Linked DNA regions of Ovis aries. The main gene of each other region encodes a partner of the protein of the gene in region 3 in a complex. Links are inferred from orthologs where the notes say so. Each region holds a gene or a part of one and is shown on either strand. Other genes may lie near its edges.

Region 1 (9,362 bases), on a different chromosome or scaffold from region 3:
GTTGCTGTCTACTGAGCACGTACTGGGTCGTCAGCTCTGGGTTGTGGGATTAGACAAGACAGAGCGGGGTCCCTGCTTGTCACAGAAGAGATCTCTGCTTGGGCTCTGAGGTCAGAAGGCCTGACTTTGAGCCCTAGATTCACCCCTTTTAGCTTTGTGGTGCCAGTCATGTTTCTTCTCTGAAATTGTTTAGTTGCAAAGTTGTGTCTGATTCTTTTAAGACCACATGCACTACAGCCTACCAGGCTCCTCTGTCCTTGGGATTTCCCAGGCAAGAATACTGGAGTGGGTTGCCATTTCCTTCTCCCAGGGATCTTCCCGATCCAGGGATGGAACCCACATCTCCCGCACTACAGACAGATTCTTTACCCCCGAGCCACCAGGGAATCCCCTCTGTAAAGTTAGAATACTTGAATAATACTTGTCTCATATAGATACATTGTGAAGATTCCTTGAAATATATGACCAGGACACCCTTGTGCACAGATACAGGTGCATTGCTTAGGAGCTGGGCATACAGCAACCAGCCAGCCAAAGTGCCTGCCCTTAGAAACCTTCATCATAATGGAGGAGGAAAGATCTTCCCTGTGGCTCAGGTGGTAAAGAATCTGCCTGCAGTGCAGGAGACCTGGGTGGGATCCCTGGGTCGGGAAGATCCTCTGGAGAAGGGAACAACAGTCCACTCTCTTCCCTGAAGAATCCCATGGATAGAGGAGCCTGACAGGCTGCAGTTCACGGGGTCGCAAAGAGTCAGACACGACTGAGCGACTAACACACAATGGAGGAAAGATGGTAAGCTCAGGATACATACATGCTGTGACAAATGATTGTGTGTACCTTGGAGGAAAACATAACAGGAGGGGGTGCTGTTGCTAGTTAAATAAGAGACTAGAAGCTCGTGTTTCACAAACTTGAGCATAGGGTGAACTCGAGCGGTACCTCTGTTGTGACCCACGGGGTGCTCACTTGGCCTCGGCAGTGTGCCCAGAGCCCCCTCAAGCTCTAGGGACCCGGGGGGGGGGGTGGGCTGTGACAAAGGAGAGGTGCAGGTTATGGCTGATTGCCTTGGCAACGGGTTGGCACTGTCTCACAACACCTGTGTCATTTTTACAGGGGAAGGAAAGATACAACTTCCCCAACCCCAACCCATTTGTGGAGGACGACATGGATAAGAATGAGATCGCCTCTGTGGCGTACCGGTATGTCTCCTCCCTGGTGTCCCCACCCTGTGTGGGTGGTGCATCTGGACCCAGGGCCTCAGGTGACCAGAGGCACTCGCTCTTCCTTGCAGTTACCGCCGGTGGAAGCTCGGGGACGACATCGACCTCATCGTCCGCTGTGAGCACGACGGTGTCATGACTGGAGCCAACGGGGAGGTGTCCTTCATCAACATCAAGACCCTCAACGAGTGGGACTCCAGGGTGAGGCACACGGGACACCATGTCCCGGGCTGGCGCCTGCAGCCTGTGTCTCTTCCCCTTGCCTCATTTACAGAGGTTTTCTGTCTTCTGAGTTTTCCCCCTACTTAGTTCCGCTTTGAGGAAGAGATCGTGTGTGCGGGTGATTACCTTTCCTCGGTGTTTTCTGTCTGTCCATTCCGATCTCCTGTTGGCTTCTGCCCTCTGCAAGTCTCTCCTTATGAGCTGGGCTGGCAGCTCTCCTGTAAGTCGGGCAGCTCTCCTGACCTGTTATTTACTTATGGCAGCCCCTACCTGGTTTTCAACCTTGTGGCACCCTTTTTTCAACTTCGTCTCTTACTGAACTCAGATTCTCAGATTATCCCAGATCTGGCTTTTCAGGAGGGGCATCTTGAAAGAAATACGCATCCTTCATTTTTCCTTCTCTTTTCGTTCTCCCAGGCTGGTGTGCCAGGATGGGGCTATCATCCTTTCTGAAAGTACCTGGCCTACACACCTGAATTTAAAATGTGTGGCCATGCTCCTAGTCACTGGTGTATAGAATAAAAGGGTCTTGGTTAGGACAGCAAGGACAGGCCTGTGTTAACGAGGGTCCAGTGAGATGGAGGTCAGGGCCCATTGTGCTGTGCCTGCGTTAGAGCCAAGGCATTAGCATTCCAGGCACCAGGTTTCACTCCTCATGTGTTCTTTAGTTTCTGTCACCTGCTGAGAGCACCCTGGAAGGTTTGCTGCGAACCTAGCTCTGAACCAGTGGCCTTTTCTTAGACTTTGACCACAGCCTCCCAGGAACATCGTTCTGTGTGACTGTGCCCTCTGCTACTGCCATAGTCTGGTCCTGCACGTTTCTCAGCTGCCTTCACGTTTCCTTTGCTGTTTCCCCTCCTTTTTAATCCCCCAGTGGCGCCTTCTCTTAGGGTCGGTCCCTTATGCAACTCTTTTGCCGCAGTCACTTCTTTATACTGTGCGTGGTCCACTCAGGTGGTCTCCCTATCTTAAGAGACCTTGATTCCATCTGCAGAATCTCTTTATAGACATGAGGTAGCGTGATCCTGGGTAGTTATACTCAGGGTTCCCCCAGACTCCAGGATAGCAGATGCAGCAAGAGCAGGGCCACCAGGGACCATCTTAGAATTAAGCCTAACCCCAAGCCTCATCCTTGAACTCCAGAAATGATTCCTGAAATCTCTTCTGACTCCTGTTCCATCATTGTTGTTTTTGTTTTGGAATTTTTTGGTGGTGGTTTTTTTCTAAAATACTTTGTCCTTTCAGTGTCTTCCTTTGTCATTCCCTCTGGCTTGACTGTCCACTGGTGTCATTTCTCCTGCTCGCTTAGGCTCAGAGCCTCAAACGTCTCCTCCTCCTCCGCTGCACCCTTGAATTCTGCTGTCAGGCTCAGTCTGTCTACTTGCCCAGCCCTAGGTTTCACTGACATCACCCTAGTTCAGGAGCCTTCTCATGACGCCTGATATTTTGCATTTGTCTCTTAACTGACCTCCCTAACTCCCTCTCCATCAGGTCAAACCTACCTGACCTCCCCTCCCTCTGCGGGCTTCCGCACTAAAGCAGTCCATCTCTTCCTTGTCCCTCTCAGCCCTCCCAGCTCCAGCTTCTGCCAGTATTCCCCACGGGTGAGCTGTCACACTCCCCTGTGAAACTCTTCCTCTCCAAACCACATGTGATAAACACTTGTATGGCACTTGTTTCTAACGTGTGAATATATGTCCTGGTCTGATTAAGACCTTGTGAAGAGAGGAGTTAAGTTTGTTGAGCACCAGCTATGTGGCAGGCTGTGCAAAGGAGGGACGGAGGCCCTACCCCTTAAATGATGTCTTCTGCTCTACCTGTGGGCTTTCCCCTCCCTGGTTAAGCCCACTAGGGACCTTCTTCTCTACCAGAGGGGCCATCAGTCCACAGGCAGCATGGTGCCTTGGCGCCTATAACCAGGGCCCTCCTCCCACAGCACTGTAACGGCGTTGACTGGCGACAGAAGCTTGATTCTCAGCGAGGGGCTGTCATTGCCACCGAGCTGAAAAACAACAGCTACAAGTTGGCCCGCTGGACCTGCTGTGCTTTGCTGGCCGGATCCGAGTACCTCAAGCTTGGGTGAGATTCCTGCCCAGGAGCCATGAGCTCATCTTCGGAAAGGAGGGGTCTTCGCGTTAGGAGACCAAGGCTGCCTTTTTCTCCCTTTTCTTGGGACAAGCACGAGGCCACCATTTAACTAGTAACTCAACCCCAGGCACAGCTATGTCTTTGTTCCGGCAGGCCCCACCCTAACACTCCTCCCCCCAGTAGTTAACGTGTCCCAGTGCCACACGATCTGTGCCAGCCAGGCCCCACCGTAACACTGCCACCCACCTCCCCCCAGTTATGTGTCCCAGTGCCACATGGTCTGTGCCGGCGGGCCCCACCCTAACACTCCTCCCCCCGGCAGTTATGTGTCCCGGTACCACGTGAAAGACTCCTCACGCCACGTCATCCTGGGTACCCAGCAGTTCAAGCCCAACGAGTTCGCCAGTCAGATCAACCTGAGCGTGGAGAATGCCTGGGGCATCCTGCGCTGCGTCATCGACATCTGCATGAAGCTGGAGGAGGGCAAGTACCTCATCCTCAAGGACCCCAACAAGCAGGTCATCCGTGTCTACAGCCTGCCCGACGGCACCTTCAGCTCCGATGAGGACGACGAGGAGGAGGAGGAGGAGGAAGAGGAAGAAGAAGGTGTGTGGCAAGCCTCCCTCAGGATTCTGGCGTGACCTGTGGGCTGGTTGGGGCCTCTAACCAACCAGTCCTCTAACCTCAGTGGAAAACTCCAGGAATTCCCTGAGGCTTCACTTGGTATGGCATTCAGTCTAGTTCCAGGAGCCACTTCCAGAGCCTTTCGAGCACTTGACGGGGTTGGCGAGGAGAGTTAGGGCAGGAAAGAAACGTCTAGAGGAATGTGCTAGAAGTCCCTGATACTAGCCAGTGGCCCCAAGAAGGAATGATGCTCCAGGTTCATGTTAGGCCTTAAATCGTTCTCTCACCTGCTTCACCAGTTGGTGACTAAAGGAAATACCTGTTAGTCCTCTGAGGATCTGAATGGTTTCACATCTGAGTGAAAGTGTTGGAAATCATAAGCAATTCACCAATTTGATACAACCTTTGTATGTTTCAGAGGAAGAAGCCTGAACCAGATGGTGACGCGGAACTGGTGTCTGCGACTGCATCGAGCCTGGAGGACCCTGAATACCTGGTGGGATGTGTGTCTGACTCTTGCTCTCTGAAGCTGGGCTATTGAAATAAACTCTATTTAGTCCCTTACCTTCATCTGTGCCTACATTATGACCGATAGCCCTTCTTCCTTCTCCTAGTAGCCTTTCAGAGAGGGAGGGTGAGACACAGCAGAGTCTCTCTGGAGTTCATAATCTGGGTTCCCGCCTTTGTTCTCAGCATTAGTGGTTTTACATTCCTGCTAGAAGGTGAATGCCCTGGGGTGTTTTGTTCTTGGAACCCCTTGAAATTATCCTTTGCCAGGGAGTGAGATCCATTGTGAGGTCCCCATAGGAAGTCCATTTCACAAGCACAAGCTGGCTACATGCCAGACCCAGCTGCTGCCCTGAGACACACACATCACAGTAATGATGAAGCAGGGCAGTCTTTGAAGCTTGAGGTGAGGTCGCTGCTGTGAAGGAGACCGCTTCAGAATGTCCTGAGGGATGTTCCATAGGCTGTTGATTGTAATGGTTTGTATAAACTTCCCTGATAGCTCAGTTGGTAAAGAATCCACCTGCAATGCAGGAGACCCCAGTTCAATTCTTGGGTCAGGAAGATCCCCTGGAGAAGAGATAGGCTACCCACTCCAGTATTCTTGGGCTTCCCTTGTGGCTCAGCTGGTAAAGAATCTGCCTGCGGTGTGAGAGACCTGGGTTTGATCCCTGGGTTGGGAAGATCCTCTGGAGAAGGGAAAGGCTACCCACTCCAGTATTCTGGCCTAAAGAATTCCACAGACTGTGTAGTCCATGGGGTCGCAAAGAGTCAGACACAACTGAGCAACTTTCACTTTCACTTGGCTTGGGCTGGTGATGTGCTCTCAAGCCGGCACCCTCAAAGCACTGTGTCATGAACAAATATCTCATCCTGACACAGAACTGTGATGCTGGTGGAAGTGATGCCATTGTACAGATAAGACTGGCTCCACTTTTGGGTAGCAGTCCTAAATTTAACGATTTTGGTCAAAATAATTAAGCCTCAGAAAGCAAGCAAAAATGTATCGGACTTTATTGTCCAAGTTACTAGGAAAACCGTATTAAGGTGTGCTTCTTGGGGAGTTTTCGGTGTAGGTGGAGCATTAGAAAATTCACATTATAGTGTGACAAGTGTGGGGTTTCAAGGTCAGGCTGGTACTCCCCAAGCTGCCTCCTGCAGACCCAGCATGCAACCTAGCAGGATTATCTGGAACAAGTGGCCCAAACACGTCTTAACAGCAACCTCCACCTGCTTCATGTCTTTCATCTGTCCTCCACTTCCCCCAAGTTGATGGCTGTAAATAGCCCTGCCTCAAAACCGGTAGCATTCTACAGTCCAGGCTCAGCCTAGTCTGAAGGCCCTGCCATACCTTATCAGTCCTAATTTCCCAGTACAAGATAAGACCAGCAGTTTGAAGTACTTAATTATTTGTCCACACCCATTCTCATGATCATCATAACTACTAAGAAGTTGACCTCCCTAGCTTCATTTTTGGTTAGGTGCTTTTGTCTGCTTTTAGTGTTTATTCAACAAATTACTAAGGGCCTGCTGTATGTCAGATACTGATGGAAGCCCTGAGGTCGCTATAATGATTAAGATTCATTTCTGCTCTAACAGGAGCTTTTCTCTGAGGCTAATAACAGGCTAGGAAAAAAATAAATGGCATTCCTAAGGGTGTACTTAGGTCTGAGAGCTCAAGAAAGACTCTCTAGAGAAGTTTCAGTGATGAAAAGCTGGGAAACCAGTGTTTTTCCAAACTCACCGTGGCTGCCTTCCCACTGGAACCCTCAGCCCCATCTCACAGGACTACTTAACAGCTCCTGAGGTTCTTCCTTTATTCATGGGTGCACTGTATTCCGTGCAGGTAAATCTCATTCAGGATTCACAGTTCACCTCAGGAATGCCAGCCCCGGCCACCCAGTTCCCTTGAGTGGGGTGCAGGGTCACCCAGTCACCCTCTATATTGCCTCCACTTCAGCCACAGTTGCTGGGCATGAGCAGTGGATTTGGGCTTGGGTGTCTACACTGCTCTGTCATAGGCCCCTTTGTTTACAGTATTACCAATGATAAGGTAAAAATTTCTATTTTAAGGCAAGACAAGAAAGGTTAAAACCTCTTCCCTCCCCTCTAGTGTGCATTGTGCTTCCGTGTTATGCATTAACCACAAGTCCTCAATGGCAGAAATAACCTGCTCAACCATAAAGTTCAGTTTTTCTTCTGGTGCCAGTCATGGAACTCCTTAGGAGATAACATTCATTTTTCGGTCCTGTAAGGGGTCACAGTGACCCACCACGTGCTTTGTACATGCAGACATCTTTGTTGAACTTCATGTACAATGCCAATGTGCCATTTCCCTTAAAAGACAGCGATGAGGGCAGAAAGGACTAGTCAGATGACCTGGGGAGTTACTGGGCTGCACCTAACGAAAGCTCTCAGCTTAAATACTTCCTTAGGAAAGAATGTTGCTAGCTGTATTTCACACGTTCTGCCTATTTTACAAGACTTTTTTTTTGAGTTGCTGTTGTCTTAGTTGTGGCACACAAGCTGTTTGTTGCAGCCTGTGGGCTTCTCCCGAGTTGTGGTGCATGGGCTCCTGAGCACACAGGTTCAGTAGTTGTGGCTCACAGGCTTGGCTGCCCCATGGTATATGGGATCTTAGTTCCCCGACCTGAGATGGAACCCATGTCCCCTGCATTGGAAGGCAGATTCTTAACCACTGGACTACCAAAGAAGTCCTTAAGAATATTGTTTCTTACACAACCAGATGTGTGACAGAGCCTCCAATAAAAATGATGACTAGGCGACCACAACAAATAACACCGTTCTACAAGGTCAGTGACAGTAACAGTCTGACTCTATAGATAATGGGAAGAAATAGAGAGGATCATTACCTGAACCATAGCAGACCAGTAAGACAGGAGGTCCAGAGGCTTTTGGCTTCTACTAACAGAACCCAGTCCAGTAATAACACACTGAATGGCCTATCAATGATTCCTTGCCTGGCCTGAGAATGAGCATTCCTATCACCATGCGCCATATCAGTCACAGAATACCTCTCAAACCTTGGTCAAAATTAAGACTGAAAGGGAAGGGACTGTAAAATAAGGAATATAGCCTCCCACCCAGTTCTACAAGAATCAAGTCATTAGCCACTTGATGACCTACATATACCATGAGAGGAATTCGGGATGAGAATTTGGACAAGGCAGTTTTGTGCTCTAGGAAACCTGATAGGACTAGCCTTCAGACAGATATTTTCAACAGAAAAATTCCTGAACCCAGTTTCTCGCATCTTGCCATACTTAAGAACTAAAACCATTAAGCTGTTAATTCCTCCTAAAGAGCAACAACCTTCTACCAAGCCGTGTGCTTGATTGCGTATGTCCCTTCATCAGAATCACATATAAACTGGCTTCCCTCCCCTACCCCTTGGTTACAGTCCTCAGAGCTTTCTGAAAGACTGTCTCCTAGGTTATAGTCCTTTGTTGCTGTTCAGTCACCCAGTCTTGTCCGACTGTCTGCAATCCCATGAGGTCCTTCATGGTCTCCCTGAGTTTGCTCAAACTCATGTCCTTTGAGTTGATGATGCCACCTAACCATCTGATCCTCTATCTCCCCCTTCTCTTGCCCTCAATCCTTCCCAGCACCAGGGTCTTTTCCAGTGAGTCAGCTCTTCGCATCAGGTGGCCAAAGTAGTGTAGCTTCAGCTTCAGTCCTTGCAGTGAGTATTCAGGGTTGATTTCCCTTAGGATGGACTGGTTTGATCTCCTTGCTGTTCAGGGTACTCTCAAGAGTCTTCTCCAGCACCACAATTCAAAAGGCACTCAGCCTTCTTTATGGTTTAACTCTCATCCATACATGAAAAACCATACCTTTGACTGTATGGACCTTTGTCAGCAAAGTGATGTCTCTGTTTTAACATGCTGTCTACATTTGTCATAGCTTTTCTTCCAAGGAGCAAGCATCTTTTAATTTCATGGCTGCAGTCACCGCCTGTGGTTACTTTGGAGCTCAAGAAAATAAAGTCTGTCACTGTTTCCATTGTTTCCCCATCTATTTACCATGAAGTGATGGGACAGGATGCCATGATCTTAGTTTTTTGAATGTTAAGTTTTAAGCCAGCTTTAGGTTGGCTCAATTAAAATTCTCCATTTCTTCCTTAGATAGACCATTAATTGTTATCAAGCACATAAAACAGGCTTCATAAATTAATAAAAAGTTTGGAAAGAGCTCATGATTTGGAGTATAAATGGGATGGTGTGTGTGTGTATTCCTCACTCCAGTTCTCAACTCTATGATCTTAATTAAGCAACCCTCCTCTGACCCTGCTGCTGCTAAGTCGCTTCAGTCGTGTCTGACTCTGTGTGACCCCATAGACGGCAGCCCACCAGGCTCCGCGTTCCCTGGGATTCTCCAGGCAAGAACACTGGAGTGGGTTGCCATTTCCTTCTCCAATGCGTGAAAGTGAAGACGCTCAGTCGTGTCCGACTCTTAGCGACCCCATGGACTGCAGCCTACCAGGCTCCTCCGTCTATGGGATTTTCCAGGCAAGAGTACTAGAGTAGAGCCCCCCTCTTCTGATGGAAGATCAAGTCAGTACTGTTTGTTACTTACTGAAGGATAGACTGAATCATTGTAGCGAAAACTCCTTAGCTGCTTTACTGGTCCTGGTTTCACCAACTTGGTTTCCAGTTTCAAAGTACTGGGTAACCAACTAGT
Region 2 (9,479 bases), on a different chromosome or scaffold from region 3:
GACATCCAGGTGAGAGATGTGGTATTTCTGGAATCAGGAAACCAGTTCTGAATTTCAGCCAGAGTTGGAGCCTAGGCATCATTAACACAGAGAGAGTAATCAGCCCCAAGCTTCTCTCAGCTCTTCCAGGCAGAGGGCCCAAGATGGAACCCTGGGGAATGGAACTTGTTAGGGATGGGATGGGATAGGGGGGTGTCAGAGGAGGAAGGACCAGTTTGTTAAGGGTGTTGGGAGAAAATCAGGGAAGTGTGGTATCACAGGACTCAAGTAACACATGATGTCACACCCAGACACTGCAGTGTTTTCAGCAAAGGCACAACCACATACAAAGAGAATGTGTGAAAACACATTTCATGGAAAAAACAAACCTGTGCACATACAGGCAAAGCCTGGGGAAAAGTCATGCATCCTTGTAGGCACAGAGAGTGTTCTCGTCTTATAAACAACTCTGTGGCCAGGGTGGGCAACAACGGAGCAACGTTCGGTGACAGTCTTCCTCCAAGCCTTTGCACATACTGTTTTTTGTTTAGAATGCCCTATTTTCCTCTCTTCTTTTTCAATCTGCCTCTTTCTCATTCTTCAAGTCCAGCTTAGATTTCATTTCCTAACTGGAAGTCTTCCATGAACTGTAACATCTCATGATTCCCAAAGTGACAGTCTCTTTGTCCCCCCTGCAGGTTCTAAGCAGGCACCAGGACCTCTTGCTTAGTGTACTGGTCAGCATTTGATAAGTATTACATGAGCCAACACATAACTTGACTTCTTCAGCCTTTTCTCAAAACATCTGGTGTGGCCCCAGTTTACAAAATGTCACATTTATCTGCATTTAAGACTTCACCATTTGGTAAACTACCCTGTAACCCTACCTTTGCATCCTCAGCTTCCACCACTCTCGAGTAGCCAGGGTTTTCATATATGACCAGGCCTTTTATCACCTTTATCAGAAACCAGGCAACATCCCAGACTGCTCCCATCTCTCACCATCCAAGTGTCAACCAGACTCCAGGTCCTCCTTGGGTCTGCCTCCTGAACCCAAGTCTCTGTCACCATCCCCAAGGCCCAGCCTGAACCTGGGCTCTCGTCCTCTCTTGACAATCACAGTGACCCTCTGCCTAGCTCTCTGCCTTCTGTTTTTCTCCCTTTCCCTCCTTCCTCTATACCAGTACCCAGTAATCTTCCTGAAATCCAAATCTAATTATCCAATGCCTTCCCACAACTTCCAGGATAAAAATCCAAACTCCACAGGTTGTGGGCCCTTCTGGTCTGGCTCCTGCCTTCTTAGATTCTAAACAGGTTAAGCAATTTTCCATGTACTTCCTTTGTCCCAATCACCCTTTCCGGATTTCCTGGTTTTAAGAAAAAAACATCAGCTCAGATATCATGTCTTACATAGACTCTGACAGACTCTGGTCAGCCCTTACATTCCCATTATGTTGTATTTTTGCTTTATGAGAGCAGTTATTTCACTGGGCAACTAAACTATGAAGCAGACAGTGGCACAAGAAAAAAATCCAGCCCTGGATTCAGACCACACACACACGACCGCTTCCACCAAAGTACTCACTTCCTAGTTCCTGGGTGAGCTCCAGAACTGCCTTTTCCCTTCCACCCAGAGGGAAACTCACATTAGATGGAATTCACTTACGAAAGGTACTCTATGTTTATTTAGAGTCACAAGCAGTTGATTGACTCAGTGTGACTCAGACCACAGACACCATTTCTCCTTCACTCCATTCTGGGTCCTGGGCTTGGCTGGGGCCCAGTGTAGCAGGAGGGTTGCCCGCGGCCCCTTCACAGGTTCACAAGCTTCTCATTGAGGGCAATTTGTGACTGTGTGAGGTTGGCCAGATATGTCACCATCAACAGGTCCTAGAAGAGAAGGAATCCAGGATGAGTGCGGGGCTGGGTAGAGAGTAAGCAGAAAGGCTGGCCAGCTGTGTGATGGACACTGAGGGTAAGGCAGTCCTGGGCAAATGAAAGCTGGGAGAGGCTGACTGAGAGTAGGAGGAAGACAGAAAGGAAACGCCTGAGAACATCGTCCCATCTCTGATACACCCGAGTCATGGGAAGCAAAGAAACGGCAGGAGAATCTCTGAGCACCTGTGCTCTCCTCCTCACAGCCTGGACTGCAAGGGGGCCAAACGTGCTGCCCCACCTCCTCTGTCCTCTCCAGGCCACCTCCTCCACCCCCTTCACACGTGTACGTGCTGAGGTGCAGGCTCCCAGGAGCCCAGGGACGCCACTCACGTTGATATTGCTGTTGAGCATGGTCTCGAAGTCCTCGGGAACTATTTTGGGTACTTGGTTAACCAGACTCATCAAGAAGCGGCCCACGGTATTGTCGGCTGACACCTTCCCAGACTAAGCACCAAAAGAGTCAATGTAGCACGGTTAATTCTTGCCTCTGAGACCGCGGCTTCGCCAGTGCAGCCCCTGCCGCCTCGCAGCGGAGACCCACGCCCTCCTCCTCCCGTCCTCACCAGCACGTCCTCCGCATACTGCAACACTGTGCTGAGGGCGTCCTGGATGCGAGCGGAAGCCCCGCCCACTTGCTGCAAGTCACTGGAGAGGCCGATCACCCGGTTGGGGCTAAAACAGGTCTTCATGATCAGGTCAACTGTGGGAGCAGGCGGGGTGCAAGAGACAAGAGAATTCAGCCATCCCATCAGAAAAGCGAGCTCTAACTACCTCCTTCTGGACTCAGTCAGCTTCCCTGAACTCCCCACCCCCCCCCCCCCCCCACTAGCTTTTCTTCCTCTGAGAGAGTTCAACTCCTGCACCTAGGATGCTAATCACTAGTTTTGGTCTTATATGACTGGCCACGTAGCCTCTGGGGCTGATGATTTCCCACCTCTAACAACTTCTCAAATAATTCCTTGAGTCCCATACAAACCTTAGATCAATGGTTGCTCTTAAGCCACCCAAGGTCCTCCATCCTTGTTATATAGAAATCCCCTCCCTTGAAAAATGTCCAGGACCTAAAAATGGGGAGGTCACTTACCTCCTATGCGTTCAGTGTCGTAGTATGTGTATTTCACTGTTAGAGGGGTGAACATCACCCCCATGGTCCTCCCAGGAACACCCATTAAAGTGCTGCAGAGACAGAAGTCAAGGTTAACAGATGGCTTTGGGGGACAGTTTCCATGTTCGGTCCTGGCTGGGAAAGCAGGCATATCAAGAGTATGGCTTCCAAGGTTCTGAGATGAGAAGGTTGGACCAGATGAAGCCCAGAGGTCTGAAGAGAACAAGCCACTTTCTTCCCTTAGCTCTTTCCACAAACCAAACTCTTGGCCTGAGAGAATGGACTCAGCATTTGGATGGGGCCTGGACCCTTTACAGAGGATTACTGCACACACTGAAATCTCAGTGAAGAGGACAGGACGCTGAATATCCCTGTGGAACTGGGTGCCTAGACATCCTTCCCCACAGAAAGAAGTGACAGGACAGGTCTCTTCTGGGACCAAAAAGCACTCATCAGCACTGAAAAAAAAAATCTATTCTGGTCCATCAAGATTAGACTGGGTGCAATAATTAATCTCAGTAAAGGTGACTGCCTTTACTTAGTCAACTATACACTTTCGTTGGATCTACAGGAGTCTGAAATATTTGGAAAGGCTAAGAAATCAACAAATAGAGTTTAGTAGTATAATAACTGGCCTGTAAGAACTGACATGCACCACCTCTATCCCACCGCATAATGGTTAACGGGTCACTTCAGCGTCAGAGATAGAAACAGCACAAAGTTAAGTGTCGTAAGAGATGCACTAACAAAGGGCATCATTCCAAGGAGAAAATATAATCCTTTCAACTCCTACAGCCGCCGCTTTTTTGGCATGCCACTATAGCCTTTCCCAACATCCCCCATCACCCAGCATTCCAGTTGCTTGCAAGCTCAATGTGCCAACAGAGCAATGTTACTATCATTCGAACTGTACTATATCCAGGATTAATAGACATGTGTAAGATAAGGACAGCCATTCTTCAATCTGTACTGCCCTGTTTTCTATGCACAGTTTTAGGGATTTTGACAAACTTAAGGGCAATTCAAAAAATCAGTGAACGTGGAGAAGAATCCTGGCCAGCATGCCATGTGAGGATCGGCGGTAGGAGCTGTGTATGAGTTAACTTCTGGAAAAGATGACAGGAAAAACGAGCTTGCTCAAATACCTAAAGGGCTGCCCTTGGAAACTGGCTATGAGCAATGAGCAGAAGTCTGGGCAGGCAAGGGTCAGTGAGTGGTAACTTCAGGGACAGTTTCTTTCTGAGTAAAACCTCTCCAGTGATAACTGCCGAGAGTGAGGCAGGGGCTCCCTTAGGAGGCAGCAAGTTGCAGACTGCAGGATGACACTGGCATGGGGTGGAGGCGGGTGTCACACCCAGGCTTAGCAGGAATGAAGGAGCCTTCATGCCCTTGCGGCCCAAGCCCCCGGTCACCTGACGTAGGCCTTGATGCTCATGCGGCCATTCTGGAGGCTGGTGTCCACTGTGAGGTGAATGGGGTTGGGGGCTTCTCGGCTGTAGTACTCATGGATCAGCACTGAGTGCTCCGTGATGTCATGGCCTGTAGCGTACCTGGAAAATGGAAGAGTTGTGGACTCATGTCCACATGTGACATCAATACTAAACAGGATGGTGGCATGGGTGTCTCTGGGCACCTGACACCCTTGCAGTAGTTATACCCCCAGGGACAACATTGAGGAAAAAAAAAAAAAAGCACACTGATAATTTTATTAAATCAATTAAAACAAGGCTGACTTAAAAGCTCATGAAAAACTAAGTCACCAGCAAGGCAAAAACGACTTGCTCAGAAGCTGCAGCTCAAAATGAGTATTCTTGGCCTCACAGGATCAGAACTGCCAGCAAAACACACAGAATTCCTGGCCCCTTGAGATAATACACATTCAATACCCTGTCTCCAAAAGAGGAAGTACGATACCTAGTCAGGTGGCAAAAGGCGCTGGCAATCAACCAGAGACGTTCCACCCCTGTCCCAACTCACCAGCCCAGGATGAGCTCGTTTGGAGAGACTTTCTTGTGCAACTCATACATGTTCTTAGCAAATTCCATGTCAACAGCCACCTAAGAAGAAGGGCAGAAAAGAAGGCTAAGAAGCCACAAGTCCACAGCAAAATGGGTGAACAGGACAAGAGGCCACTCTCAACAAAGAGGAGAGGCCCGGCAAGTATGTCCAAATGGAACAAAGCTCTTCGAACTGCAGTTCTAATTATGAGCATGGCACACTTGGTGTAGGAGGGCCTCACAGAGAGCCTGGCAAATGAATAGTCATAGTCCGTATGGGGGCCTCAAATCCCCACTCACCTCATCTTCTGACTCATTGTGTGGCACTGAAAAGCAATTGGTGACTTCCACTGAGTGCTTGTCAACGGTTCCTGTGAGAGAGAATAGTCCAAGTGTTATAAAATCTTGGGCTTCCAACTGCCCCAAATGCTTTCAAGAGGTCTCCTCAAAGTCAAGGAACAACAACAAAAATCAAGTTTCAGCCATGTGCACCAATGGAAGCTGGGTTTTCCAGAGAAATGAAACTCCACAGTTATCTCCAACTCTCTTCTTTAACAGGGTCTATTCTTCCTTCCCAGGGCCTCCTTTTGCCTCACTTCCTGCTACCCATCCTGCTCCAGATCTTCACTCTAAGATCTTCGTCTTTCAGCCTCTGGACTTTCTTCTTAATATAATTCACCTGCACAGCTGCCTGGAGGATTCTCACTGTGTCTATGAAGACCATTCATGTAGTAGCCCATCCTCAGAGAATACTTTTAGGGAGCTTCCCCTGTACCTCCCTGCAGCCATATGGTCCCAGTCATAACCTTAACCCTACCATCATCCAGAAAACTTCTCCCTGTGAACACTAAACATCACGCCACAAACTTTTCCTAGTTCTGATATTTTTATTCCTGCTACATTGTTTCTTGACCTCACGAAGACTCTCAATCCTTGATTGCTCCTTACCCTAACCTACTAGCCCCTCCTGCTAGCTTCCAGTGCTTTCTTCTCCAACAAACTACAATGTTGCTCCTGACCCATCAGGGTCATTTAATCCCACTTCACTGTGGTTTCTGCCCTCTTGGCTGAAACTATATCCCCAAACCCAATGATACTTTTTCTTTTTAATTGAAGTACAGTTGATTTGCAATGTTACAAGTGTACAGAAAAGTGATTCAGTTATACCTGTATATACACACATATTCTTTTTCGGATTCTTTTCCATTAATACTAAGTATAGTTCCCTATGCTATACAGTAAGTCCTTGTTATTTTACATTTAGCAGTATGCATACTCTGTATCTTATTTGACCTCTTGTCAACAGACTTGACCACTCGAACTTCTGAAATAGTCAAGTCTTCTGTACTTGCATGCCATTATGGCATCCTTCTACTAGAGCATTTATCACATTATACTCCAGTGACTTGCATGTAAGAGTACATCTTCATCTTGAATCTAAGGTTAAGAGTAGCATTCGTTTTATCAGCTTTTGAATTCTAAGTATCTAATAGTTTTATGGCACATAAAAGGTACTAGTGATTTAATTTAACCAAATGGAATATGTCTCATGAATCGCTTTCTAACTTAAAATTTCTAAGGTTCTCAGCAAGTGGAATCTGTGCGTCACTCTTCAGTAAGCACTGCCTCTGTAACATCTAGCATTGTACCACGGTTCCATTCTGGAAGAGGAGCTGAAACCCTAGATGACAGCTGGTCTAACTCCGGTCACTGTAATATTTGGGGGCACCTAATACAAACCTATTTCTGCTTTACTGACTATGCCAAAACCTTTGAGTGTCTGGATCACAATAAATTGTGGAAAATTCTGAAAGAGATGGGAATACCAGACCACCTGACCTGCCTCTTGAGAAACCTACATGCAGGTCAGGAAGCAACAGTTCGAACTGGACATGGAACAGCAGCCTTTTCCAAATAGGAAAAGGAGTACGTCAAGGCTGTATATTGTCACCCTGCTTATTTAACTTCTATGCAGAGTACATCATGAGAAATGCTGGGCTGGAAGAAGCACAAGCTGGAATCACGACTGCCGGGAGAACTATCAATAACCTCAGATATGCAGGTGACACCACCCTCATGGCAGAAAGTGAAGAGGAACTAAAAAGCCTCTTGATGAAAGTGAAGGAGCAGAGTGAAAAAGTTGGCTTAAAGCTCAACATTCAGAAAACGAAGATCATGGCATCCAGTCCCATCACTTCATGGGAAATAGATGGGAAAACAGTGGAAACAGTGTCAGACTTTATTTTTGGGGGCTCCAAAATCACTGTAGATGGTGATTGCAGCCATGAAATTGAAAGATGCTTACTCCTTGGAAGAAAAGTTATGACCAACCTAGATAGTATGTTCAAAAGGAGAGACATTACTTTGCCGACTAAGTTCCATCTAGTCAAGGCTATGGTTTTTCCAGTGGTTATGTATGGATGTGAGAGTTGGACTGTGAAGAAGGCTGAGCGCCAAAGAATTGATGCTTTTGAATTGTGGTGTTGGAGAAGACTCTTGAGAGTCCCTTGGACTGCAAGGAGATCCAACCAGTCCATTCTGAAGGAGATCAGTCCTGGGTGTTCACTGGAAGGACTGATGCTAAAGCTGAACTCCAGTACTTTGGCCACCTCATGCGAAGAGTTGACTCACTGGAAAAGACCCTGATGCTGGGAGGGATTGGGGGCAGGAGGAGAAGGGGACGAACGAGGAAGAGATGGCTGGATGGCATCACCGACTTGATGGGCATGAGACTGAGTAAACTCCGGGATTTGGTGATGGACAGGGAGGCCTGGCGTGCTGCGATTCATGGGGTCGCAAAGAGTCGGACACGACTGAACTGAACTGAATACAAACCTAGGGTGGAGAATTGAGAATTGTTTCTTACCATAGAGTCCATGGGGTCGCAAAGAGTCCGACAGGACTGAGTGACTAACACTTTCACACTTTGGGAGATTATGAGTAGAGGTGAGGGTGGGGGTATGGGATGAAGGACAGAGTGAAAACTTTTCCTGGGAACCTGGAAAATGAGTGGAGCTTAAAGGAAAAAATAAGGGAGAACAAGCAAAGAGAATACAAAGGCTTGGTTTGAGATAGCTATGGCAATGTTCGTAAGATAACGGATCAACTGAAGTTTCCGTGAAATGCTACTCTCTCAAAGATAAGAGAGAGAATGTGTGTGTCAGGAGTGTGCATGATGCGGTGGACGACAGCAACCGACAGCTGCTTCATACCTAGTCTGTGTCAGCACAGTTAGATGTCTTCAGCAAGTCCCTGAAGGAAAGAGACTTCCCTAACTTTTGCAGAAGTCTGGCTACAACTACCGTCCTCTTCTCAATACACCAACTGTCTTCTACAATGGAAACTATTACAAGTTCAAGGGTTAAGAAAGAGAAATCATAAATGGGACTAAACTGGAATCACAAAAGTGCCCCGTATCTGTGATCAAGATGGAGTGAAAAATTAATCTGATGGGACCCGACGTCCCCAGATAAAAGAATACATCGTCAGAAATCCCTTTTTAGGGCTTCTCGGTTTTACTCTAACATAAAGTACCCATTTCTCAAATTTGGAACATGTCAGGGAAAAAAGTTATTTCTCCATGTAATCGTTAATACAAAGAATAGATTTGTATTGTATTAATTGTGTCCAAACGAAGAATCACAGTCTACAGTGGGGGAACGGGGGTCTATATTTCACTGGTGACTAGTATTACAGAGAGCGAGGAAAGGCGGATCAGGCTTAGACGTTTAAGAAAGCAGAATATTGAAATTCAAATGGGTTCCTGCCAAACTGGTTTACTTGCTGCGAGGGATATCTTTCTACAGATGTCCCCACTCCATTGCCAACTAGTTAGAAAAAACTTCTCGGTTAACACTCGGAAAATAAAGACCAGTAGTAGGTAAGGGGGGAAAACTTGGTCACTGGGTTTAAGGAGTCAAAAGGTTTTTGACGTCCCAGTAAGGTTGTGAACACATTTTCCGTCGATTGGGACTAATAACCGTTGAAGTGAAATGCTACTGCAAAGATTAAAAATAAAATGTGAGTCACTTGGCACACGATACTTTTTCAACAAATAACTACAAGGGAGTGAGAAGAAAGGGGGACAAGATAAAACAAGGTGGGCAGTAGAGGAGAACGTCAGTTTCCCCTGACCACTCACCCAGCAGGGTCCCGATAACTCGGGCAGCTCCCTCGTTGCGTCGCTCGTAGCTGTCCACGATGGAGGCCAAAATGACCGGGTGCAGCCGGACCACGCGGCCGCCGGGGAAGGGGCCTGGGAGAGCAGGGCCAGAGAGAGACTGTGCGGGGGTCTGCGCTGGGGCTGGCGCTGAGGCCGGGGTCTGGCCCGGAGCCGCGGTCGTAGCCGCTGCTGCTGCCGGGTCTGAGGATGACGCGGGAGCCGGCGATGGAGCTGGAGCCGGAGCCGGCGATGGAGCCGGGGCCGAGGCTGAGGCTGGGGCTGGGGCCGGGGCCGAGGC
Region 3 (10,800 bases):
GGAGAGAGTCTGGGAGTGTATGGCTGTGACCTGACTCAGGTGCCCTTTGGAGGCTGTGAGGACAGATGGATGATGAGGGTGGGAGCAGGGACAGCGAGGTGGACCAGACTCCTGATCCAGGTAGATGGTGACACTTGGGGGTACAGACTGACATGTGGGACTTAGAGTTGTAGAGGGGGGTGGGGGTGGGGGGCTCTTGCTTCACCCCAGGCCCGGGTGGCGCTGGTGGTCGATGCCAGGTTATGTGCCTCCCTGGTTCTTGCCCCAGGACACAGCCTAATGGACCCTGGGCTTCTAACCTTCCTTGGTCTCTGAGTCCCTCTGTACAAACGTGCTGTGGCTGGCACCCCCCATCCTGGGTGTGCAAAAGCACTCTGGAAACATGCCCACAAGGGGCTCCTGGGACACAATAGGTAAGGGTGCCACAGCGGGAGCCACAGTGAGGGGCAGGGTTGATGTGCCAAACCCTCTGCTCACAGGTGCCATGCAGTGCCCAGTCAACTTCTCGGAGGCTGCAGATCGCCTCCTCAGTGGCCTCCAAGAGGGCTTTCTGTGGCCCATGCTGGTAGCCGAGTTCCTGGTGGCCTTGGCCTGCAACAGCCTGGCCCTGTACCGGTTCTGCAGCCGGGAGCAGCGCCCTTGGCCCCCAGCTGTGATCTTCTCGGCCCAGCTGGCGGTCAGCGACCTGCTCTACGCCCTGACGCTGCCCCCCCTTGCTGCCTACTTCTACCCGCCCAAGCACTGGCGCTACGGCGAGGCTGCCTGCCGCCTCGAGCGCTTCCTCTTCACCTGCAACCTGCTGGGTAGCGTCATCTTCATCACCTGCATCAGCCTCAACCGCTACATGGGCATCGTCCACCCCTTCTTCACCCACAGCCAACTGCGGCCCAAGCACGCCTGGGCTGTCAGCGCCGCTGGCTGGGCGCTGGCGGTCCTGCTCGCTGCCCCCACGCTCAGCTTCTCTCACCTGAGCAGGTCCCAGCGCCAAGGCCAGTGCTCTGTGACCAGCCCAGGGGCCTGTACCAAGTGCCTGGGGACAGCGGGTGACAGCCAGCTTGAGGCCTACCGGGTCTACAGCCTGGCGCTGGCGGCCCTGGGCTGCGGCCTGCCGCTGCTGCTCACCCTGGCAGCCTATGGCGCCCTGGGGCGGGCCGTGCAGCACAGCCACGGCATGACAGCAGCCAACAAGCTGCAGGTGATGGTGCTGGTGGCCAGCGGCGTGGCCCTCTATGCCAGTTCCTACGTGCCCTACTATATCACGGCAGTGCTCAACGTGTACGCCCGGCTGCGCTGGCAAGCCCTCTGCCCAGGTTTTGCGAGTGAGGCCGCGGCTGAGAAGGCACTGGACCAAAGGACATACTTGGCCCACCAGGTGACACGGGGCCTTGTACCCCTAGCCATCTGCATCCACCCGCTACTCTACATGGCTGTGGTGCCCAGCCTGGACTGCTGCCGCCAACGCTGCGGGCAGGGACAGACCCCAAAGGACACTCCGTGCTCCAGCCAAGCCCTGCCCCTCAACGTCACAGCAACCCCCCAAACCTCAGAGCTCCAGTCCCCCGAGCTGAGCCCGTGACCTGGCCCATCTTCAGCCCCCTCCTCATCACAAGATGCTGGAACCCAGCAGCAGAATGGAGGCAGAGGGCAGGCCCCCAGGAGCCACTTCCTCCCCACAGAAAGGCTGCCAAAGCTGCAGGAGCTTCCACTCACAGCACTAACCCTGGGCAGGGCCACAGAGCAAACCCAAGATGGGGGGGGTGGGGGGTGGAGGGTTGGCCCCGGCTCTAGCCCCACCCACAACAGTGTGATTGACATCAGGGAATAAATGGTCCGGCACAAGGCTAGAGACTAGAGACTTTTTATTGCCCTGAAGCCCTCTGCTCCAGGAGGCTGCCTTCTGTCACTGAAGGTTCCCGGGGCCAGGGGCTGAGCAGCAACAGCAGCAGCTGGCTTAATTGGTTGATGGCCTAGAAAGGGAAGCAGGAGGTGGGTGAGGATGGCAAGTGAGGGGGCTCTAGACCCTTTAGGGAGTCCCAGGACCACCACCCATCTTACATACACAACACGAACTCAACGGGGAGGAAGGGGGACACGGCACGGAGCACACCTGGGGCCAGACAGGCCTAGGGGTGTGGGGCCCTCCATGAGAAGCAAAGACCCACACCCCGGGACATCCCTGGTGAGGCCCACAGTCAGCCCAAGCATCAGCTACAATGCCATGAGGGGCGGCGGAGGGCAGAGGTCTTACTTGGCCCACTCGACGTTGAGGATGAGGTGGTCGTAGCCAAAGCCGGATACCCCGGCAATGGCACGCGCAGCGTCCTCGCGGCGGTGGAAGCTGATGAAGGCAAAGCCCTGGGGGAGGGAGTGGGGGTCAGGGACAATGCTCAGGGCACCGCTGGGAGTCAGGACCCCGCCCCGCCCCCACGGCCACTGGCCCACCTTGGACTGGCCAGTGGTCTTGTCCTTTGCCAGGTAGATGCGGGAGATGGAGCCAAAGGGCCGGAAGAGCTCCTGCAGGTCAGTCTCACGAGTGTCCTCAGACAGGTTGGTGACACGGATGGTGGCATTGTCATCAGCTGGGCAGGCAAGGAGAGGCGTCGCTGAGGGGCCGGCCCCACCCACAGGATAATCACAGGGTACAAGGGGTGCCCGCCCGCGCACCAGCCCAGCACTGGGGTGCCCCCCCCCCCCGCCTCACCTCTGCGGTTGGGCTGCATGGACTCCCCGCGGCGGCTGGCCCCGTCGCGCAGGCTAGGAGGCACGTACTTCCCAGTCTTGTTTTGAGTGGCCTGCACAGGCTCCAGCTCTGGGGACCAAAAGCAAGGTTAGGTCCAGCTTCCCCTGGCACAGGCCTGGCCCAGGACGCTAGCCGCTCCGGCCATGATCCAGCCCCAAGCACCCTCCCTCTCAAACCACAGGCCATCTGGGGGATCTCTTCAAGGGCTAAAGGTCTTAAAAGGACTAAAAGGACTTAAAGGTCACACCCAGGCTGATCCACCCACATGTCCGGCCTGCCAGCAGCACAGGAAAAGCGAGAGAACCCACAGTGAGAAAACGCCCAGCCTCACACACACACCAGGACGGTGCACAGGGTAGCAACAGCCCCCAGGGTCCCATCCCGGGGACAGGTGACAAGTGGCTGTGCACACGAGTCACAAGTATAGAACTCCAGTGTATGTGTGTGTGTCTGTGTGTGTGCATGCATACGTGTGCAAACACAGCAAGCTCCTGTCAGGACAGACACACTGAGAGAACAGCCATCTTCCCTCACTACGCGCAATGTCCTTACACCTGCAGCCGTGCTCACTACAGGCTCTCACCAGCCCCAACAGGAAGAGACAGGTGACGTCACCAGCAGAGCACCCACCTGCAGCCTTTCACATAAACCAACGTGGGCTGTGGCCACAGCCTTACTGCCGTGTGGGAGGTGATAACCACCAACACTGCTGGTCCTGTCCAGACCCCAGGTGAGGACCCACGACTCCCAGAGATGCACGCAATTCCTGTGTTCCACTCCCACTCCTCCCCCCAACCCCCAAGCCTGCCAGCAATATCCCAAGGTCCTGGCACCTCCGGGGAGCTTCTCCTTCTCGCCAGTGGACAGGCCCAGCTGTTCGGCCAGCTCCTTCTGCATGGGCCCCAACGTGTCCTTGTAGGGGCAGCGGGTGGTCCAGTGGTCACCCTTGCAGATTCGGCAGGACACTATCTTCTGGCCCTTGAGCTTGTTCATTGGGTCCTCCTCTTCCTGGCAGTTCAGATCCTGGCAGGGCAGGTGGTGGCAGTTCAGACGGTAGTTCAGCTGCTCCCCTGCTGCCTCCAGTAACACCCTGGCCACTGGCTCCCCCTGCCAGCCACCACACTTACCTCTTTGCTGGTGATGAATGTCATGGATACATCATCGCTGACTGTGGTGGTGGCTACGTTGGGCCCCGGTGGGTCAAATTCTGAGTTCCCAAACTTCTTCCAGTTCTGAGCTCAAGGCAGGATGGGGGACAGGTCAGGGCAAGGACAAGTGGGACCCCCTCCATTTGCACCCTAGACTTAACAAGAGCCACCTTGAGGGTGAGTGAGTCTTGAACCCTATTCACCGCCCTCAAATGCTCCTTGGAGAAGCGATGATGACAGTTGCTATTCCCTGAGGGCATGCCAGGCCCCAGCTCCATGCCAGCTCCAAGAGTAGGGGCAGCTCTCAGCCTCATGTTACAGATGAGAAAACTGAGGCTCAGGGGTAAACAGGTCCAGAGCCAACAACCCCTGGCAGGGGCTGACCAGCTTCCACCGAGTGATACTCAGGGGTGTGCAGGATCACCCAGATTTCCAGGGGCCTTGAGCTCCTTAAACAACCTGTACCTTGGCATCCTCCCCTATAAGGGACCACAATGCTCCCCACACCTCCCTGGAATGCTAGGGGAATGAATGAGAAAATACTTCCCACGAAGCACCTGAGTCTAACACCGAGTATGTAGGTAACTGTGCAAAACGTATTTACTGCCATCACTTCTGCTGCTACGACCACCTCACAGGAGGGCTTTGGCTCTGTTCCTCCCAGGCGACAAGCCGAGAGAAGTAAGAACCAACCCCTCCGCTCCCACTCCTGCACCTGCTGGACTTTTCAGGGCCCCCACGGACTGCACACAGGCCTCAGTTCTGCTCCAACAGAAGAGGTACACCCAGGGGACTTCCCCGGTGGCCCAGTGGTTAAGACTCCGCACTCTCAATGCACAAGGTGTGGTTTCAAGCCTTGCTCGGGGAACTAAGATCCCACATGCTGTGTGGTGCAACCAAACAATTAGAAAGAAACAAAAAAGCATCAGTCTCTCAATCATGTCTAACTTTTTGCGACCCTATGGACTATAGCCCACCAGGCTCCTCTGTCCATGGAATTCTCCAGGCAAGAACACTGGAGTGGGTAATCATCCCCTTCTCCAGGGTACCGTCCTGACCCAGGGATGAACCAGCATCTCCTGCATTGCAGGAAGATTCTTTACCACTGAGCCACCAGGGAAGCCACCAGGAAATTGTTTAACAAACAGTTAAACCCCACTTCTAAAAATGAAGGCAATAGGGAAAAGAACTCCTATTTTTTCTTTGAGTCAGCCCTGGAGGAGCCCCCAAGGAAGGGGGAGAAGGGTCTTACCTTCCTCCTTGCCACAGCCTTTGAGGCCTTCCGGGTCTCAATTCTGAAGGTGCGGACGATCTGTGGATAGGAGGGGAAACGTTTGGGCCTTCTGCTCCTCAAGGTTCCTAGCAGATCTTCCTCATCAAGACATCCAACACACCACTCTCTCCCTAGTCCAAGTGCCCCTCAAGCAAAGGGCTCCCACCTCTTCCCCAGCCTCACCTTGAACTTCTTGCCATCCTCATCTATCTTATACTCCGTCACTGTTTTGATGTTTCCATTGATGACCTCCTTGGGAGGTGGCAGTGGAGCTGGGAGAGAGGAAGAGACAAAGGAACTGAGCCCTGGGTAATAGGGACCAGAAGGAAGGAGGCTGGGGAGAGAGACGGCCCAGGGCTGGAGTGAAGTCGGGCACTCACCTCCCGGCAATAGCTCAGGCTCTGGACTGGTATCCCCAGTGGCCAGGGGGATCCCCTTGAGGAGCTCGCTGGTGACACATTTGTCTGTGACAGGGAGTGGAGGGAGCAGGGGTCAGCTGGGGGGTAGGGGTGGGCAGCGACAGGAACTCCCAAGCTGAAATCAAGGGACCTTTGGGATGATGCCTGCACCAGGAGCTGAGAAAGGTGGGACCAAGGGCAGAGGACTGGCCAGGAAGTGTCTTGGGATAGCCATTCAGGGACACGGAGCTGGCCGGTAGTAACTTCCAGCAATGAGAAGGGGAAGGGGATCCTTGGCCTGAGGGCCTGAGGGCCTGAGGGCCTGAGGGAAGGGGAGGGCCACAGGCATCCGGGCAATAGTATTAATACAAAGGCAGGAGTGTGGCTGTTAAACAATTTCCTGCCAGGAGCAGGGAAGCAGAAGTGCTGGCATCAAGGACTTGGGCGGTGGCACGGCAGAAGATGGGCTGGCTGGTGAACGTATGGAGTTGGAGATAGGCTGGCCCAGATGAGAGTGGCGCGGGGCAGGGGCTGGCTGTGAGGGGAGATGCAGGGTCTGACGGCGGTGCCAGGGTGGAGGATCAGAGCAGGCAGCAGTGACGGCCTGGGGCGGCGGGGGGAGGCCGGGCTGCGGTGATCCGAGGCGACAAGGTAGACTCACCGTCCTCTCCTTCCTCTTCCACCTGGTCCGCCCAACTGGGCTTCGAACTGCGGGGACAAGTTTGTCAAAAGGAGGGATGAGTGAGGCGAGGCCCAGCTCCCGCGGCCTCAACGCACCCAGGCTCTATATTAACTCCTAGGACCGCCCCCCATCCCCGGTCTGCTTACCAAACCCCCTCCACGACCCCTGACTCACTCAAAGTCTCCGGTCGGCATCGCAAAATCTCCACGCAGCCCAAGCCTGGGCCAAAGACCGGAAGTAAGAGGTGAAAGAGACTTCCGGCTCCGCTGCCTAGAGCAGCCGTAGCACTCCACAGCGCCCCCTACGGACGGAGGTAGAAGCGCCGCCTATGTGAGAGGCTGGGCCCTGGTATCTTACTATTAGAGGCTCGGCTCATTTACCTGAAAATCTTATTTATTTATTTATTTATTTGGCTGCGCTGGGTCTTAGTTGCGGCATGTAGGATCTAGTTCCTGGACCAGGAGGGCCTGCATTGGGATCACTGAATCTTAACCACCGGACCTTTTCTTTTACTTTTTTTAAAAATTAAAAATAATGACAATAAAGCTCAATTATATAGCTCTGACTGTTTGCAGGAACTGTGAGGAGGAAATTATCGTTTCCATTTTTCAGCTGAAGAAACCAAAACTGGTCTTCCTTGCCTGGAAATAACTTTTCTGATTCAAATGATCAAGATATCAAGTCACCCCCTAACTATTCTCCCTCCTTGAGTAACTCCCCCCCCCGCACTGTGAGGCTTGCAGAATCTTAATTCCCTAACCAGGTATCAGAACTGGGCGCTGCAGTGGAAGTGCAGAGTCTTAACCACTGGACCACCGGGGAATTCCTAGTAACATTCTTGGCTCCCTGATATAATCTTTTCCATTTTCTTTAATTTATTGCTTATTGTCCAGCGTTCCCTCTACTGTATGCATTCTCAGTGGGAGTGATATGACTCCCAAGGGGACCAAAATTAATTGTTCTGTGGCAAAAAAGAAACAAACAAAAAAAAAACCAACTTGGAGATGACAATGACTTGTGGCCTCCAAAGCCAACCCTCCCAGACAAAATCTTATTTCTAAACATTTAATTTCTATTGTTAGGGAGAAATTAAATGTAATTAGATTAACACTGATTTAAATGGAAGATAATTCCATTTTTCTCCTTTAGAGGGATGATAATGAAAAAAATGGTAAAAACTGCTGCAGACTTCTGCAGAAACACATTTGCCTGCTTTGTTCACTTCTGGGTCCCCAGCACCCTCAGGGTGTCTACACTTGATAAGTGCTCAATTCATGGGTATTTGGAACCGACAGGAACCAGATTATAAAGGACTTTAAAAACTAGACTAAAGATCATAGTCTCTTATATATATATTACATATATATACATGTATATATATATAACATATATAACATTTTTAAAAATATTTATTTTTATTTATTTGGCTGCATAGAGTCTTAGTTGTGGCACGTGGGAACTAGTTCCCTGACCAAGGATCAAACCCAGCCACCCTGTATCTTGAGCACAGAGTTTTAGCCACTGGACCACCAGGGAATTCCCAGCACAGGCTCTTTATCCTGCAGGCTGTGGGGTGTGAGTGAGGCGCTGACATGTTCTGAATGGTGACCCAATGTGACCAGATTTTCTTGTGAGAAAGATTATTCTGGAAGCCTGTAGAGGATAGGGTGGAAAGGAATAAATCAGCAGACCAGGAAGGAGGCTGGGAAAATAAGTAAATAAAGAGGGTGGTTGGGAATTCCTGGTGGTCCAGAGGGCACCAGAGGATGAGATGGTTAGATAGCATCACTGACTCAGTAGACATGAATCTGAGCAAACTCTGAGAGATAGTGCAGGACAGGGAAGCTTGGCATGCCGCAGTCCATGGGGTTACAAAGAGTCGGACAAGACAGTAGCAATCAGTGGTTAGGACTTCAAACTTCTATTGTAGGGGTCATGGGTTCAGTTCCTGGCCAGGAAACTAGGACTGCAAGCTGTGAGGCACTGCCAAAAAAAAAAAAAGAAAAGAAAAGAAAGAGGGCAGTCTGGCAACAGATGAAACTATTATAAAGTTTGTACAAAGAATCAATAAACATTTGTGCAAACTCACTCAAGTTTACTTCAAGAAATGCAAAATCCAAACACTGAATGTTGCAGTTGGGCAAAACTGTAAAAATTCGATATTACTCAATGGTAGCAAAGATACAGAGAAAAAGACACTCCCGTACTTTGTTAGTGAGATTATGCAAACTCTTCAGATGGCATATTGATGATATCTACTAAAGCTTAAATACACTTACATGTCTTCCTTTGAGCCAGTTGACAATTCAACCTGTGAGAAAAACCTGGGAATGTATGTAAAGATGTGAGAACAAGCTATGCGAGCAGTACTGTTCATGATAGCAAAAACTGGAAATTCCTATCTGCCCATTAACAGCAGCTGGTTAAATAGATTAAGACGTGTTATGCTTGCTGGGACTTCCCTGGTGGTCCAGTGGCTAAGATGCAGAGCTCCTGATTCAGGGGGCCTGGGTTTGATCCCTGGTCAGGGAAGATCTGGCATGCTGCAACTAAGACCTGGTGTAGCCAAATAAATAAATATTAAAAGAAAAAAAGGCATGCTATGCTGTAATCTATTAAATGCTATTCAGTCCTTAAGGAAGTAGATCTACTTGAGGTCATGTTAAAAATACATCTAAGAAAAGGAGATGAAGCAAGGTATAAAATGGCATATGCTATAGGAACCAATTTTTGTACATCTTTAATAATAGTAGATAGATATGTAGATACATTCAAGCTATTTTAGGATCAGAATTATCAAACTGTTGCTGAGAGAATGCTTTGAGAGGAAGCCATCAGGAAAGAGCAGCTTATTTCTAAACTTCTGTTTTACTTAAAATTTTTACCATCTGATTTTTTTTGGTTTAAATATAAACATATACATAAACTATAGTTATATTTTTTGTATTAATATATAGCATACATCCTATGTTATGTATGCAAGATATAATGTATGTATATATATTTTAATATATTTTTTAAATCTCTTCTCTTTTTGTGTTTACTTACTTGGCTGCACCGTGTCTTAGTCGCATGTGGGATCTTTAGTTGCACCATGTGGGGTCTAGTTGCCTGACCAGGGATTGAACTGGGCCCCTTCCCCCACCCCCTGCATTGGTAACTTGAAGTCTTGGTCATGGACCACCAGGAAAGTCCTTTTAACATGTTTTTCATACTCACAAATTTGCATGTCCTCTTCTAGAAGGGACCTAAGGAAATATACATCCAAGTGCACTAAACTGGCTATAAGAAGGCGTCCAGTGCAATGTGGTTTAAAGGGCTGGAACTGAAAACAGCACAACGGTCATGACTAAGGGATTAGCTAAATATTGCCCAACGAGCTTCACCCCTGTTAGAGAAAACTGGGCCCATTTCTGGCTACCCAAAAGGACCTTAACCACTAAACACTGATGCTTCTGGGTGTTTCGACTTGGCCTCATCTTTACAGGCATACTTTGTTTCATTGCACTTTATAGATTTCCTACCAGTTGAAGGTTTATGGGAACCCTGCATGGTCAGATGATGTTTATTTAGCATTTTTAGCAGTAAAGTATTATTAAATTAAAAGTTTTTTTTTTTCCTAGACATAATACTATTGTGCCCTTTAAATAGACTACATAGGGCTTCCCAGGTGGCGCTTGTGGTAAAGAATCCAACTGCCAATGCAGGAGATGTAAGAGATGTGGGTTTGATCCCTGAGTCGGGAGGATTCCCTGGAGAAGAAAACGGCAACCCATTCCAGTATTCTTGCCTGTAGAATGCCATGGACAGAGGAGCCTAGTGGGCTACAGTCCACAAGGTCACAAAGACTTGGACGCCACTGAGCACATACACATGTATGTACATAGTGTAAACATGACTTAAAAAATTATTTTATTTATTTTGGGCTGTGCTGGGTCTTCATTACTGTGAGGGCTTTCTCTAGTTGCAGCCAAAGGGGTTTCTCCTGTGGTGGCTTCCGCTGTTGCACAGCAGGATCTTTAGAGCACAAGCTCAGTAGTTGTGGCTCACCGGCTTAGTTGCCCCACAGCATGTGGAATCTTCTTGGACCAGGGATTGAACCCCTGTTCTCTGCACTGGTGGTCTTCCCTTGTGGCTCAGCTGGTGAAGAATCCGTCTGCAATGTGGGAGACCTGGGTTCAGTCACTGGGTTGGGAAGATCCCCTGGAGAAGGGAAAGGCTATCCAGTCCAGTATTCTGGCCTGGAGAATTCCATGGACTGTATTGGAGTCTCAAAGAGTCAGACATGAGTGAGTGACTTTCACTTCACTTCCCTGCACTGGCAGGCAGACTCTTAACCACTGGACCGCCAGGGAAGTCCAAACATGACTCTTATTTATTTTTAAAATGTATTTATTTTTGACTGTGTTGGGTCTTTGTTGCGGCTTGGGCTCTTCTCTGGTTGTGGAGAGCAGGGACTACTCCCTCGTTGCAGTGCCCAAGCCTCTTATTGCCGTGGCTTCTCCTGTTGCGGAGTACAAGCCCTAGGGCTCCATGGATTCAGGAGTTGTGGCCCCCAG

Evidence for each region.
Region 1: EIF3G (region 3) and EIF3D share a complex: the UniProt entries of both Homo sapiens proteins name them as parts of the eukaryotic translation initiation factor 3 (eIF-3) complex. The link is inferred for Ovis aries from reciprocal best matches to the Homo sapiens genes EIF3G and EIF3D.
Region 2: EIF3G (region 3) and EIF3F share a complex: the UniProt entries of both Homo sapiens proteins name them as parts of the eukaryotic translation initiation factor 3 (eIF-3) complex. The link is inferred for Ovis aries from reciprocal best matches to the Homo sapiens genes EIF3G and EIF3F.

What each region holds. Positions count from the first base shown.
Region 1 is NC_056056.1:180,565,784-180,575,145, reverse strand, and holds the end of EIF3D (eukaryotic translation initiation factor 3 subunit D), read left to right. Parts: intron 1-1,113; coding exon 1,114-1,199; intron 1,200-1,291; coding exon 1,292-1,421; intron 1,422-3,378; coding exon 3,379-3,521; intron 3,522-3,786; coding exon 3,787-4,136; coding exon of another isoform or gene 4,137-4,171; exon of another isoform or gene 4,172-4,572; coding exon 4,573-4,586; 3' UTR 4,587-4,718; downstream 4,719-9,362. UniProt on the Homo sapiens protein: mRNA cap-binding component of the eukaryotic translation initiation factor 3 (eIF-3) complex, a complex required for several steps in the initiation of protein synthesis of a specialized repertoire of mRNAs.
Region 2 is NC_056068.1:44,239,059-44,248,537, forward strand, and holds the end of EIF3F (eukaryotic translation initiation factor 3 subunit F), read right to left. Parts: coding exon 9,161-9,479; intron 5,391-9,160; coding exon 5,320-5,390; intron 5,080-5,319; coding exon 5,000-5,079; intron 4,573-4,999; coding exon 4,435-4,572; intron 3,094-4,434; coding exon 3,002-3,093; intron 2,618-3,001; coding exon 2,481-2,617; intron 2,362-2,480; coding exon 1,870-2,361; coding exon of another isoform or gene 1,792-1,869; 3' UTR 1,637-1,791; downstream 1-1,636. UniProt on the Homo sapiens protein: Component of the eukaryotic translation initiation factor 3 (eIF-3) complex, which is required for several steps in the initiation of protein synthesis.
Region 3 is NC_056058.1:12,523,959-12,534,758, forward strand, and holds EIF3G (eukaryotic translation initiation factor 3 subunit G), read right to left. Parts: upstream 6,486-10,800; 5' UTR 6,436-6,485; coding exon 6,416-6,435; intron 6,268-6,415; coding exon 6,221-6,267; intron 5,626-6,220; coding exon 5,542-5,625; intron 5,434-5,541; coding exon 5,345-5,433; intron 5,201-5,344; coding exon 5,141-5,200; intron 3,973-5,140; coding exon 3,868-3,972; intron 3,764-3,867; coding exon 3,574-3,763; intron 2,810-3,573; coding exon 2,702-2,809; intron 2,580-2,701; coding exon 2,443-2,579; intron 2,356-2,442; coding exon 2,249-2,355; intron 1,968-2,248; coding exon 1,952-1,967; 3' UTR 1,843-1,951; downstream 1-1,842. Other genes in the region: P2RY11 (P2Y purinoceptor 11), read left to right, coding at 480-1,576. UniProt on the Homo sapiens protein: RNA-binding component of the eukaryotic translation initiation factor 3 (eIF-3) complex, which is required for several steps in the initiation of protein synthesis.